Pelodiscus sinensis: one gene and its partner. The protein of the gene in region 1 purifies or fractionates together with the protein of each later gene. This does not show direct contact. Links are inferred from orthologs where the notes say so. Each region holds a gene or a part of one and is shown on either strand. Other genes may lie near its edges.

Region 1 (7,947 bases):
CCTGGTAGTCTCCTATTATCAGTAATCTGGTAATCCTCCAGAGTTAGAAGACAAAGTATCACTTATTCACATAATGGAACAACAACAAAAAGTTTGCTACAACTGTACTCTTTTTTCATTTTCCATTCATAATAGAAAAGTTCCATCCAAGGGAAGGCAGATATATATCTTTTCAGGAGAGGCTAACAAGTCTTTGTGTCTGCCAGAAAGATCCTGAAGTTTTAGGAAGGGAGACATTAGTAACTGTATTCAGAAAGCAAAGGGAGGAATATGGAACCCACTACTGCCAATATCTTTGCTATGTAACTGCGCACACACCACCTCAAATACAGGCAGTCCCCGGGTTACGTACAAGATAGGGACTGTAGGTTTGTTCTTAAGTTGAATCTGTATGTAAGTCGGAACTGGCATCCAGATTCAGCCACTGCTGAAACTGACCGCCAGTTCTGACTTACATACAGATTCAACTTAAGAACCCCAAGCGTCCCCAAGTCAGCCGCTGCTGAAACTGACCAGCACTGACTACAGGAAGCCTGGGGCAGAGCAACTCTGCCTCGGGCTTCCTGTAGTCAGTGCTGGTCAGTTTCAGCAGCGGCTGAATCAGGATGCCTGGGGCAGAGCAGCTGGGGTGCTGCTGCGTTGGTCCAGTAGTGCCCAGAGCGGCGCTGCAGGACCAATCGGCAGCGCTCCAGCTGCTCTGCCCCAGGGTCCACAACAAAATCCTGGTCTGCTGGGGGGGGGGGGGCACACTAGCTGCGCCCCCCCCCCCCCCCCCAGCAGACCAGGGACACCGGGAGCAAAGCTGCAGCGGCAGCGGGGTGCCGCGCCTCTGAGGCTTTGCCCGAGCAAAGCCTCAGAGGCGCGGGACCCTGTCGCGGCTGCGGCTTCGCTCCCGGTGTCCCTGGTCTGCTGGAGACGGTCCCCAGCAGACCAGAGACACCGAGAGCGAAGCCGCAGCAGCGTCAGGGTCCCGCGCCTCTGAGGCTTTGCTCGGGCAAAGCCTCAGAGGCGCGGCACCCCGCTGCCGCTGCAGCTTTGCTCCCCATGTCCCTGGTCTGCTGGGGGGGGGGGCGCAGCTAGTGTGCCCCCCCCCCCCAGCAGACCAGGCTTTTGTTGTGGACCCTGGGGCCGCTGCTGTGGCTTCTCTCCCGGTGCCCCTGGTCTGCTGGAGACAGTCTCCAGCAGACCAGGGGCACCGGGAGCAGCTTTTCTCGCCCCGGAGGTCGAGGTGGCGGATCGCTGCCGGCGAGCTCCGGGGCGAGAAAGCCCGGTTCGTAAGTGCGGATCCGACATAAGTCGGATCCACGTAAGTCGGGGACTGCCTGTATGTCTGTTTCTATTTGGAATTCAATCCTATAGAAGTAGTGTGATTTTTTTTGAAGGTTATTCAGACCTTGAAAGTTCTATTGTGCAATACTGAAAAAGGTTATTCTTATGAAGGCACTTAGAGGGACTATACTGCAAGTGTCCCTTCAATAATTAAAATAGAAAAGTCTCTTTCAAGCTTGTAGTAGAAACAACTTGACAGGCTAACAAAGGAATTTGACTTTGTCAATCAATTGTAGGTGCAAGATCTTATTGAGGAAAAAAGTCACTGAAAGTAGTGAATTTGGTCGTTAGGTTTTGAAAGCATCAGGAGTTCCATAGCCTATTAAAGTTGTCTCATGCGTTCATAAGCTTCACTTTAACAGATAAACTGTTTCACAGGTCCATTGGAACCAAGCTATCCTGCAAGAGAATTTCAGAAAACTATGGCTAACCCCACAAAGGCTTATGAATATGAGAAGAAATGCCTTCAGCAGGCATCTATTAACCATGCAGCTTGCGAGCGGGGCTCGCTGCCACTTGTCAAGCCCTGTCAATGGATAACCTGAACCAAAAGTGGAACAGCAAGGCTATATATCCACAATGACCTACGTTAAGCAAACAATGGGCTATTACATTTTGTACCATGTCCAGAATGAGCATATATCTCTAAAAATGAGTTGTCATGTGCAAGCAAAGAGTCAACACAAGTATATGGACAGCTCACCTATAGCCAGGTCTGCTCCTGAAGAGATACAAGAGGATCAACTGTCAAATTTCAGTAACTACTTTAAAATCAACATGAGATAAGGTAATTCTTCCCTTAACTCTCAGTCTCGACACTTACATACCCTACTCAATATAGTACATAAAGTCTCTCCTCACATTTTTGTAAACAGTGACTTCAGTTTTACACGAAGGGAACCAGCACGACTCGAGATTCAAAGGACTTGTCAAAGATCACAGGACGTCTGGGAAACACAGCCTAGACCTGAACCCAAATCTCCAGTCCTGGCCCAGCACCTTATTCAGAGGTTATTCCACCTAATCAGCGGCCGTATCCTCCCTTCAACTCACAACCCCCAAACGGTGTTCGGCGCCCGGCAAGCAGGGCGGATCGCCAGGCTGGCGAGGGCACAAGTGAAGGGGGACAGGGCAGAAACCCCCAAGGCCCGTCACTAGAGCGCAGACACGGCCCCTCCAGTGGAGACAGGCTGTGCGGAACCAGGAGCCCGTACGGCCGGCCACTGGCAGCTAGCGAAGCCCCGCCACACGAAGGGGGCCAAGGGCGGGATCCTCGGGGCAGCCGGAGCGCGCTCGCTCCCACGCAGGCCCGGGCCCACCAGAGCAGCCGTGAGCTCGGTACCTGCGGCGAAGTGCAAGGGGCTGGACTTCCTGCCCGCCGTGTCCCTGCTGTTCACGTTCTCGGGCCGCACCAGCCGCTTGACTCGCTCCACGTCCCCGTTCCTGCAGGCCTCGAACAGCTCCCGGGCCGGCTCCGCCGCGGGCCCGCAGCCCGGCGCCTCCAAGGGGCCGGCCGCGCCCATGCCGCGCCGCCCGGCCATAGCGCTCCCCTCCCCAGCCGCTGCAGCGCTTCGGGGATCACAGGCGGCCCCCCGCCATGGCCCCGGCTCCCAACACGCTCGGCTAGAGACGGAAGCAGCGGCCACTCTCCCCCACCCCCAGCTGCTAGGCACGGCGCGCCGTACGGCCGCCGCCGGGGAGCGCCTGATTGTGCGGCATGCAGAGCATGCGCAGTAAGGACAAGCGCCGCCATTGGACCATGCACAGAGAACGCGTGTTGCTCTGTGCGCCTGCGCGAGGCGATAATTTCTCTCCCCCCCCCCCTCCGCGCGTGCGTAGTGGGAGTGGCGATAGGCTGGGCTGGTTGAACTTGCGTGAGAGAGCCCAGTGGTGGTGGGGGGGGGATCTCGCTCCTGAAGACAGGGCGATGCAGCGCCTCCTGCTGTGCTGGGCTCGCGGCTCAGGAGATCTGCCCGCTGCCTCCACGCAGCCTGGAGCTTCCCCAGGCGAGAGTCAGCGGTTGTGTGTTGGGGGGGGCGGCGGCGGATACAGCTGCGCCATTACGTAGAGTTACCAGATGATTTCAAAAAAATACCAGACACCGTTGATCTCAGATGGGGGGTGGGACTGGCCAGGAGCGAGGCTGGGGGGACTGCCGGTGGGGAGCTGGGCTGGCTGTGAGGGGTGGGGGGACTGGCCAGTGGGGAGTGGGGCTGGCCCAGGTGCTCTCAGATCCTGGGGTGCTGCCCATCCAGTGCACGGTCCGGCAGGGCGCACTGTCAAGTCCGGTCTGGGATTCTATCCCACCCCCACCCTCCTCTTCTCGACTGTGTAGTTGTGTACTGCCTGGCTGGTAGACATGCTTACACAGCCTGAGCGTGTCTACCGTCCAGGCAGTATGCAACTACATACTGATATTTTTATTTTAATAATAAAACTTACTTAATTAGAAAATACCAGACATTTATATGTCCAGTATTTTCTCAATTTGTTTCCTGTGCTGAAAGCTCAAATACCAGACTGTCTGGTTCAAAACCTGGCAACCCTACCATTGCATTGAGCTCAGTGTAACTTAGCTCAGTTGGTGGGATGGTGTGGGTGCCCCAAGAAATGCAGAGGAGAGCCCCGGGACCAGCTGGGAGTGTCCAGCTGGCCCTGGGCTCCTAGAAGCATGCATCATAGCATGGAGCCCAGGATCAGGGGGAGCGGGGCTCTGAGTCCCCCGCTGATCCCAATTAACTGCATTTTTAACCTCCCTAATTTGTACCCTGCCCTACAGATGTGGCTGGGTATCAGCTGTGATGAGTGAAGTGGAAGTCAGGGTTCTAGTTACATTTTTCCTGGCTAAATCCCTGCATCATCTTTGCTCTTAAATCCCACAGAGTCCCTTGTGAGTCTGTTCACAAAGCACCAAGGCATGTATGGTCAGAAGTATGCCAGGTTTATAATTTGTATGTGAATGCTGCCCATAGTTTTCTGGTAAGTCCAAAGAGGCCATATGGATAAAAGTAATCACACTACTTTGCAATGCAAAGTGACTAAGTCAGTTGGCAAAATGGATGGTGAGGAGACAGGTAAGAAGAAGAGCCAAACTCAAGGGCTTGTGGCTCTAAGGCAGTAGCTGATCTAGACTTGCCTTCATTGCTAAGGTCATTCTTATGCCTGTACTTGGGAGTATCCTTGGAGAATTTCTGTGGCAAACTAGTGCCTTCACTGTTTACCTGGGACATTAGTGTCAAGTGACAAGCCCTCTATGGACAGGTCAGTTCATCAGTCTGTCTTTGAGCTCCTCCTAAACAATTGTGAGCTAAAAAGTTTCAGGGGGGTAGCCATGGTATTCTGTAACTTTTTAAAAATAACAAGCAGTCCTGTGACATCTTAGTCCTGGCCTAACTCCCCTTATTTCAAAATAACAAGCAGAGCATCCACACTACCAAGCCCATTATTTCAAAGTAATGGGCTGGTTATTTCAAAATAACTCCTGCTTTCCTCAGGGAATAACACTTATTTTGAAATAGTTATTTCAAAATAGTGTTAGTGTGAACACTTCACTGCTATTTTGAAATGACCACTCCCCCAAGTAATTCAAAGTAATTACTCCCCAGTGCTTCCTGGGACTCTTAAGTTGAGGTAGCGCATTCACAATAAAGGAGCCTGCCTCAGACTAATTTTGCAGCTTCCCCAAACTCAGGCCATGCTATTTCGATTTTGTTAATTTGGGATTTATTTCAAATATAGTTATTTCAAAATAATTTCCTAGTGTAGACCTGTCCCTAGAGCCTAACAATTATATTAGGTCATAGGATTTTGTGGGTAAAATGCACTTCATTAGATGAGTTGGAATGGAAATTACAGAATCCAGCAAAAACAGTTACTTGTCAATTATAGAACTAGTGTTAATTAAGCCAAATAAATAAGGCTCTATTTATCCGATTCATAGCATTTGATGTGGGAATGAGAATATCAAAAGGTGGGGGAAATTGCCTTTGTAGTGCATTAACTAGTATATTTATTCAAGCCCAAAGTTCATAGTGTCGACATGTTCTCTCTTTCAGGAATGAGACTTTGCTTTCTTGAAGAATAAGTTTTATTAAACCAAACTCTCACCTTTGTTGAAATTTAAGCGGGAAATTCAGGCCAGATTTTCTACATGCACACTCTGCAGTCTCCCATTCTCTTGACATTTTAGGGTAAAAAGAATCAGAGTAATTTTAATAATCAGATCTGGTTTTGGAGAACTTATATCTTTAGGACACTTGTCAGATTGTTCTGATTTTCCCATCAGATATTCTATGCATATCCTTTAAGTAGTCTACCAGTTTCCATTGCAATCTTCATAGGTGTGTGGATTGCACAGCGTTTTGTAAAGGTGACTCTTAAAATAGGGATGTTAAAATGTGTGTAACTGATTAACCAAGTAACTGCTGATTTCAGCAGTTACATGGAGGGGAGGGCAGCCAGCTCCCTAGGAACTGGCATGTGCCGAGACCCAGCTTTTAAGTTGGCTCCCCACATGTACTGGCTTCCACCTGCTGTCCCATGCTGCTGCCTCTGTATCCTGAGAACCAGACCAGGAACTGGGTGTAGCCATTTGGGTAACTAATAAGCTCATGCTTATTGTTACACATTTACACAGCTACATTCTTACATCTGTATTCTTAAATAGAAAGTTTGCAGGTGTTTTAACTATAGGACACTTATGAGCCCCCTGTAATTTAGGCATCCAGGTCACTTGATTTTTAAAAGTGCCAAGCTTCCAGCAGCTCCCACTGAAGTCTAGAGAAAGTGAAAGACGCTATGTCTACACTGCAGTGCTATTTCAGGATACCGGAGGTATTCTGCGGCTTTTGAGTGAACCCGTTATTTTGAAATCTAACAGGCTCGCTATTCCAACATCCCTGTAAACCTCATTCCATGAGGAGTAAGAGACATTTTGGAATAGTGATTTATTTTGAAAAGTACTGTGTAAACTGCCAAATTTCAAAATAAGTGATTTCAAAATTGACTTGAAATAAGCGATGCAATTTGCAAAGCTCAAATTGCGTGGCTTATTTCAAGCTTCAGGTGCAATGTAGACACAGACACAGACAGACACATGAAAAGGACAAATCACATTTCAGAACAGGAGGGGAATGCTGGGGGAGGAGGGGGGGGAGAGGAAGGAAGGTAAGTGTCTGTGAATTGATGATACTAGAGGTGGGGAGAGTGGGATGTTTGTGAGTTAATGGTATTAGAGGTGATAATTGGGGAAGCTATCTTGATAATGGGTAAGATTGTTTGAGTGTTCTGAGTGTTAGCATACTGTGGGGCCATTGCGATTACAAGCAATTAGAAACACTATCCCAGAGGACACTACTGCCAACCTGATAGCAGACCTATGTAACTTTGTTCTCACCCACAATTATTTCCAGTTTGAGAACAACTTATACCTCCAGATCAGCGGCACAGCCATGGGTACACGCATGGCCCCACAGTATGCTAACATCTTTATGGCTGACCTAGAACAACGTTTCCTCAACTCCCGTCCCCTTTCACCCCTTCTCTACCTATGGTACATCGACGATGTCTTTATGATCTGGACGCATAGCCAAGAAACACTGGAGATATTCCACAGAGATTTCAACAACCTACACCCCACCATCAACCTCAGCCTGGACCATTCTACATGAGAGATCCACTTCCTGGACACCACAGTACAAATCAACAATGGAAAATTAGACACCACTCTCTACAGAAAACCCACCGACTCATACAGTTACCTACATGCTTCCAGCTCCCATCCAGAACACACCACACGATCCATCGTCTATAACCAAGGCCTTCGATACAACCGCATCTGCTCTAATCCCACTGATAGAGACTAGAAGCTTCAGGATCTCTACCAAGCATTTATAAACCTCAACTACCCACCCAGAGAAATAAAAAAGCAAATTGAAAGAACCAGACGAATACCTAGAAACCATCTACTTCAAGACAGACCCAAGAAAACCAACAATAGAACACCACTTGTCATCACCTACAACCCCCAACTTAAACCTGTCCAACACATTATCAATAAACTACAGCCTATACTGGAACAGGATACTATACTGGAACAGGATACCATACTCCAAGAAGCTCTGGGAGACAGACCCATAGTCTCCTATAGACAACCACCTAACCTCAAGATGATTCTTACCAACAACCACAGGACATACCACACTAATACCAACCCTGGTACCTTCTCTTGTAACAAACCCCGTTGCCAGCTTTGTCCACATATTCATTCTGTTGATACCATTATTAGACCTAACCAAGTGAGTTATAAGATCAAGAACACACATTCCTGCGCATCCAGAAATATAATCTATGCTATCATGTGCCGAAAGTGTCCGTCTGCTATGTACATTGGAGAAACGTCTCAGACACTTCGCCAAAGGATTAATGCCCACAAAACAGATATCAGACAAGATCACAAAGAAAAAACAGTTTCTTGCCATTTTAACCAGAAAGGACACTCTCTCGATGACTTAACCACCTGCATTCTGCTACAAAGACCTTTTACATCTGCACTTGAAAGGGAATCCTCTGAACTGTCATTCATGTTAAAATTCGACACCCTCCAAAAAGGAATGAACA
Region 2 (7,532 bases), on another chromosome or scaffold:
CAGATTTACTATCATTTTGACTAAATGAATATTCAGGTTTCACTGTTAATTCAATACTATCTGACAAATGCTCCATCTCAATAATCCATTTTAAAGAGTAGTTCCAAAGACTAGTTTTAAACAGTCAACTATCAACACTTTACTGCTGCCTCAGTGTGCATTTTCAAACTACAGTATTTCCTTTAAGATATCAAATTTGAGAAGCACAAAAATAAGTTCTGTATCTTATTCCTTCTAACAATTACTACATATTCTGGAATGTACTCTACCAGACAAGTAAATAAAATAAACTACAATTTACAGTCTACAGGATAAGACAATTATCATACAATTCAGTAAAAGAGTTAACACATTTAATTCTCTTTATTGTGAGCTACAGGCTTTCAATTTCTTGGATCATACAAATATAGGTTGCTTTTAAGATTAAAATTATATTTACCCGATAGCCCTAGTAGTCTATTAATTTCAGTGGAAAGGCTATTTATCTATTCATTGTACCAGAAAACTGGGCCACTGGTCTATCTTCACCTTCCATTTAAACACACAGGCTACGTCTACACTGGCCACAATTTCCGGAAAAGCCACGCAAATCAGGTAAGTCAGGATAGGGAAATCCGCGGGGGATTTAAATATCCCCCGCGGATTTAAATAAACATGTCCGCCGCTTTTTTTCCGGCTTGGGGAAAAGCCGGAAAAAAAGCATCTAGACTGGCGCGATCCTCCGGAATAAAGCCCTTTTCCGGTGGATCTCTTATTCCTACTTCGAAGTAGGAATAAGAGATCCACCGGAAAAGGGCTTTATTCCGGAGGATCGCGCCAGTCTAGACGCTTTTTTTCCGGCTTTTCCCCAAGCCGGAAAAAAAGCAGCGGACATGTTTATTTAAATCCCCTGCGGATTTCCCTATCCTGACTTACCTGATTTGCGTGGCTTTTCCGGAAATTGTGGCCAGTGTAGACGTAGCCACAAAGTGTTGCAAGGAAATCCAAGGGCCCAACTGTCAGTTACCTCCACCTCCTCTCTCCCCTTCCCCCCCAAAAAAAATCACTAAAAGTGTGAGCACTTTTTTAGACCTCAAGTACCTTAAACATTTCTGATGTAATTTACCATTTGATAACAGGGTATACAAAATACTGTACATTTAAAACATTAAAATTAGGGATGTGCAATATAATTGTTTAAACAGGTATTTGATAAGCATGAGCTTATTGTTACTGTAACAGTTACATGCCAGCTCCTGTGGAGCTGGCTGTCACCATGCACTGCTGGCTCCCAGTGTGCTCTTAAAAGGCGGTTCCCGAGCACAGTGGCTCCTGAGCACATCCCGGCCCCACTCCCAGGAAGCCAGCTGCCACCCTGCGCTGCAGGCTCTGAACGAGCAACACACGGTGGCAGCGGGGCTGGGAGCTGGCATGTAACTGTTACGGTAACAATAAGCTCATATTTATCAGTTAATAAACAGTTATACTGTTACATCCTTAACTAAGAATTGACATGCAAATATATCTCCAATAACTCTTCAAAATATCCAACAACAGAAGAAACTGTGGAAAACACTACAAATATGTCGAACAAAATAGTCAAACAAAACAACCATGTGTGAAGGTATTAAAAGAAATTTGAATGTAAGACTTCATATAAAATGTCAAATATTTGATATTACTTATACTTAAGCTTAGAAATATAATATGTATATTAGTAAATGTTGGTAAACATCAATTTCATTTACACCTAAACCCAAGAAAAAATATGTCCATCAATGAAAATGAAAATTTACATGAAGACAGAAGAAAAATACTGCTTATTAAAGCTTGACTGGAAGACAGGTAGTTTGTATGTTTTGATATGTGATGCTGACAATTTGTGTTTCACCTTCTTGAATCACAACATCCACTGTCAATAAGAGGTGGCCAAACAATCAATTATTTCCCACAACCGTGAACATTTAAGTCAATAAAAAATATGCATAGCAACAGACCTCTGGGCAAACCATACAAAAACGCTACGAAGCCTATTTTCATCACAGCCCACTTTGGGCTGCCGACCTCCCAAGGGACACCCCCGAGCGCGATCCAACCCTTTGGATGAGTTACAAATCTGCTAAGTTTGCCGGTTTATTTTTAAGAAAACAAAAATGTTGAGCCGGGCCAAGTTTCCCCGATCCGAGGCGCTGCCCCTCCCCAGCGGGTCAGGCTGGTCCCTATCGCGGGCTGAGCTCGGGGGAAGGAATAAATAAGCACAGTCCCAGCCGGGGGGGGGGGGGGGGGGGGGAGGGGCAGCCGATGTCATGTAACCGGGGGTTACGCAGCTGCCACACAACACAGCCCCACTCCGCCGGGGGCTCCGGGCCCTGGCCCGATGGGCGGGACTCCACAGGCAGCTACCGCCCCGGGGGGGGGGGGGGGGGGGGGGGCGCTGTGGCCTTTTGTCCGGAGCCTCGCACAGCGAGTCCGGCCTCCGCTCCAGCCCCGAGGCGGGCAGGCCCCAGCGGGAGCCGCGGGGAGAATGAGCGGAACCTCCCCGCGCGCGTAAGCCCCTGGCTTCCCAGCGGCGAGCTCTAGAACGCGGCGGCGTCACGGACTCACCCGCGGGCCCGGCTCGCGCTGCTCCGTGTCTTCGCCGCTGGGCTAGCGAGCGAACCGCCGCCCCAGCCGCCGTCACCTGCTGTCGCGAGAGCGAGACGCGACGACGTCAGGGCGCAGAGGGGCGGGGGAACGAGAGTGGAGGGAGGGGCAAAACGGAGCGGTCAGACACTCTCCCACGGGGGAAGCCCGAGAGGGGGTGTCGATACCGAGACGCTACTGGCGCGCGCCCAAATAGCTCCTCCCTCCTTCCGCGGTGCCTGTCTGCGGAGACCTCCTCTCCAGCCCATAATACTCACAGCCGCCTTCCTGCGGCGCGTGTTCACTCGCGCGCTCCTTGTTGCTTAGGCACCCGCGGCTGTTGTGCGGCCGCTGAACGCCCACAGGGCTTGGGGGGGGGGCTGCTGCGGGGCGGCCGTTACGTGCGTTAGCGGCCGCCCCCGCAGCCTAGACCCGGCTGCTCCTGCGCCGCGGAAACCCAGCGCCCCCGCGTGGTTTGCAGCGGCGGTAACTCGACACCCCCCCCCCTCGCTTTCTCCAGCCGTCAAGCGGGGGGGCTCAGGCTGGGCCTCGCGGGCGGCGACCTCAGCCCTGCAGCCAGCGCCCGCGTTTGGCGAAAGCAAATCTTCCCGCTGAGCAGCACGAGGCGGAGACGCCGCTGCACCTACCTCCCGTCAGTGGTGACTCGCCCCCCACCCGCCCTGTGAAAAAAGAGCCCTCCTTTTGCCTGCGCCTGGCTCCTGCCGCTGCACTAGAGCGTCTCTTTGGATCGGAGCTGGGATTTTATGGTGCACCCTGGTCTTTGTGATGGGCTAAAATCCATTGAGCCCTTTCGGGCTGACCCAACATTAATCTCTTTAGGCCAGAACCTTTTGGTCTGACCCAGCATTGAGCTCTTTAGGCGTCTCACTGTAAGACATTGATTTTCCTGGCCCTCAGATTGTTTAGTGGCTCTTCTGCGCACCTCTCCAATCTTTTCCTTTTTAAAAGGGGGACACCATAATTGTACACAGTGTTCCAGTATGGGTCTTAAATTAGCAGGCAGTAAGTTTAAAACAAAAGAAAGTATTTTTTTTTTACACGACACACAGTCCACCTGTGGAACTCCTTGCTACAGGATGTTGTGAAGCCCAAGACTATTTCAGGCCTCAAAAAAGAGTAGTGGTTCATGGAGGATAGGTACATCAATGGCTAAAAAACAGGATGGGCAGGGATGTTGTCACTAGCTTCTGTTTGTCAGAAGCTGGGAATGTGTGACGGGATGGATCACTTGGGCTACGTCTACACTGGCAGGAGTTTGCGCAAATACTTTTAACACAAGTTTTTGCGTAAAGTATTTGCGCAAGAGAGCGTCTACACTGGCACGTGCCTTTGTGCAAAAGCATCTGTGCCAGTGTAGATGCTCTCGCATGAGAAAGCTCTGCTGGCCATTTTAGCCATCGGGCTTTCTTGCACAAGTAATTAACGTTGCCTGAACCCTGAGCGGGAGCGTCAAGAGTAGTTGCGCAAGAAGCACTGATTTCATACATTAGAACGTTAGTGTTCTTGCGCAAGTACTCGCGGCCAATGTAGACAGGTGGCAAGATTTTATGTAAAAGCAACCGCTTTTGTGCAAAATCTTGCCAATGTAGACACAGCCCTGACGATTACTGGTTCATTCTTTCGGGGAACCTGGCATTGGCCACTGTTAGAAGCTAGGATACTGGGGCTAGATGAGTAGCTAGTCTGATCCAGTATAACCATTCTTATGTTCTCACCAGTGCAACATCCAGGGTAAACTTACTGTACCTTCTCTCTACCCTTTTTATACATGCCTGAAATTGTTAGTGTTGTAGGTGTCACCACACTCATTAACGATTATACTGCACAATGAAAATCAGCAGTGCTTTAACTAACATGGGTTGAGCCCTGCTGTGCATCCTAACACAATTTGATTGTGAGTGTCACAGTATTTGCTGGCTTTCATAAAGCCCCAGTTCCCTGACTGAAGTGATTATGTGATAATCTCAACTTCCATTAAAAAGGTAATTTTTAGCCATTATAGTTGCAAAGAATAGCTTCAAAACACAGCATGACAGCACACTAATGGCCCCACAACTAAATAAAAAGTACTAAAATGTATTGGTTTTTTTTAATTATTTTTAAATCATAGCCAAGATTGCTGGGGTGTGTGGCTCATGATTTTTGCACACTTGTTGGCAGTATTGTATCATAACGCCGCTGAACTGGCTGTAGGATAATTTGTTTTTTAAGTTTTGACAAACGTGTGTGTGTTTGTATTAGCTGCTTCTGCCATGGCCGAGCATCCTGCCATGAGTCATACTCTACTGTCCTGCAGTGCAGATTACAAAAGGAACGTGCTATTTTTGCAACAGAAGGAAATGAGTTCTGGTCCCATTGCATCTGTGGAGGAGCCATAACAGTTAATGCCGGTGCTGGGTCTCCCCTTAAGACTCACTGTGAGATGTAAACTATATCTCAACCCTCACTATAAAACAAGCATTCCTGTGCTTAGATTATATGCTATATCAGACTATATCAAAACTAGATACCTAGAATAATACACTGTAGCCTTGGCCTGGAAATAAAAGTGTTGAGGTCCATATATTGTCAGATATGAAAAGGAGAATGGAAAGGTGATTTATTCTAGTGAATCAACAAACTTTCCTAATAGAAAATTTTATTTATTGTGTACAAGATGTAAAATAGGTCTTATACAATACCACAAAGAGCAGTTTCATACACCTTTGAGGCTATCCTTTTTTGTTGTTGGCGTACTATTTATTTCTATTCTCTTTATTGTGACAGCACCACGGATCTGGATTAATACTTTATAGTGCTAGGCCTGTACAGTAGATAGACCCTGCTCCAAATATCTTACTGTCTAAGAGGAGACAACATATAGAACAGACATATTTATGGGGGAGGACAAGCAAACAATGCGCAGCCCAGCTCCACAGCAAAAAGCCCATCTCTGGTAATGCTAAGGCCAGGTTGGTGCTGAGTTGCTTGGCTATGCAGCAGCAGGACAAGCAGAGAAAGTCCCTGGAGCCCAATGGTGAGGTGAATCCATGACACCTTGTCATGGTACTGCAGATAGAATCCATCCTGAGTGTGGTCAGTGCCCAGCAAGCAAGTCCCAATCCTAGTATAGTGGCAAGTCCATCCCTACCTGGTGCTCACAGCTGGAGTCAGTAAGGGAGGAAGGCAGACAAGCAAAAGATAAGAGAGAGCATGGGCCACAAAGAAGAGTCACCAGATACAGCCAGTGGCCACCAACACTGTCACAAACTTCCTTCTTCATAGCTCCAGACCCCCTCATCCAAACCTGCTTCTAACATAGATCCCAAATAACTTCTCTCCCACACTTCCCCTTAACCTCTCCCCAACAGCCTCCCACCCAACTTGCAAATAATGCCCCACCTAGCTCCCCAACTACCACTTAAATCCATCCATATTACTCTGCCCCCAAGTAAATATACCTGTACATACCTCCTCCTGCCACAGCCTTCAACTCCCTGCCATGCCAACTCCCATATCCCCAAATAAACTTACCTTTGGCTGAAGCTGAACACCCTGATGAAACCCTTTCTCAACTCCCTAAAGCCCCCCCCCTTCATGTCCTCAAATCATCTCCTGCCACAGCTTACCATCCCTCCAAACCCCATCCCCCAATAAATCCACTTTTTAAAACTTCTCCTATTCCTCCAATTTCCACATGATCTCCCTCTCAGCTTACTTTTCACCCTTGCCCTTTGCACTGCTCCCCTCCCCAAGTTCTCATTCCTGCTTTCAACCACCATTTGTGCTAAAGATCTGACCCAATGCCCCCAGTTGCTGCTGTGAGGCTGGTGACTTTCTCCCTTTTCTCTCCCTCTTCCTTGTCTTCTTGAGGTGCTTTGATGATTTGCCCCCCTTATTAGAGGAGCCGGCTCCAGTGGAAATACACAAGTGGCAAGAGCCTATAGACTGGAACAGAGAGCCAGGCCCATCCTAGGACAACTGAAGCTGCCTCTTCAGGGTGTGTGTGGGCAGCCTCATTCCCCAACTGTCCACCTCCCCTTCCGAGCAGTCCCTCCACATTTTGCTGGGTTAGAAACAGCAACCCTCCAGAAATCAGAGCCTAATGGTATTACTCAGCTCCCAAGGAGAATATTTTTACCAGTTGCTTAAGACAATGCTACAATATTGGTTAGCATGAACGGCAGGGGGCTCTACACACCAACAACCTAACTGTTGAGGGTTTTGTTTTTTGTTTATAAATTTTAACTCACATTAAATCTTATATACTTCAAAAATTGGTTTATTTACACATTGTGAATGTGAACAAAACTGTAAGAAGTTAAATGTAAGTTAAAAATCAGACATATTATGCTTTTACCAACAAAATTGTATTAAAATCCATGTGTTCCTTCTCAGCTGGAAACTGATTGAGGATGTGTAAAATGGCACTGTTTCATTTAGATACCAATCCTTCAGTGTGCCAATATGATGTTCACTCCCGGACCATAGATTATAGATTCTCAAATAGCATCTTCCTTTGCCAATAAGCTTAGATTGTGTTAACATTTCATTACATCTTGCATGTCTTTTTTATTATTACTTCTGAATAGAAGTCTCCCATTGTATATCTATTCTGATTATAATTTTTTTCCAACTCTATTTGTTTATCTATCTATCTACCCTATATGAAATCACCACCATTTATATGTCTCTCTCAGCTTGTTTTGAAATTCTAATTTATTCTCTCGGGTTTTTAATATTCTTCCAAGTATTGAATCTCCTACACATTAAATCAATCAATCAATCAATCAGGAATTTATCTGTCTGAAGTTTACCACCAGACTATTAAGGAGTATAGTATACTGAAAACTAAAAGCCCACCAGATTGATCATTGAAGGACAGTACATCTTCCTCCTATTTTTGTAACACTACCCCATCAATAATCATT

The links.
Region 2: the proteins of TNKS2 (region 1) and E3 ubiquitin-protein ligase RNF146-B purify together in Homo sapiens (co-immunoprecipitation; 3 studies listed by BioGRID and IntAct, with this or other methods). This does not show direct contact. The link is inferred for Pelodiscus sinensis from reciprocal best matches to the Homo sapiens genes TNKS2 and RNF146.

Annotation. Positions count from the first base shown.
Region 1 is NC_134718.1:40,945,623-40,953,569, reverse strand, and holds the start of TNKS2 (poly [ADP-ribose] polymerase tankyrase-2), read right to left. Parts: upstream 3,038-7,947; 5' UTR 2,871-3,037; coding exon 2,672-2,870; intron 1-2,671. UniProt on the Homo sapiens protein: Poly-ADP-ribosyltransferase involved in various processes such as Wnt signaling pathway, telomere length and vesicle trafficking.
Region 2 is NC_134713.1:90,563,770-90,571,301, reverse strand, and holds the start of E3 ubiquitin-protein ligase RNF146-B, read right to left. Parts: upstream 3,037-7,532; 5' UTR 2,880-3,036; intron 2,824-2,879; exon of another isoform or gene 2,584-2,823; intron 2,219-2,583; exon of another isoform or gene 1,977-2,218; intron 573-1,976; exon of another isoform or gene 1-572. UniProt on the Homo sapiens protein: E3 ubiquitin-protein ligase that specifically binds poly-ADP-ribosylated (PARsylated) proteins and mediates their ubiquitination and subsequent degradation. May regulate many important biological processes, such as cell survival and DNA damage response.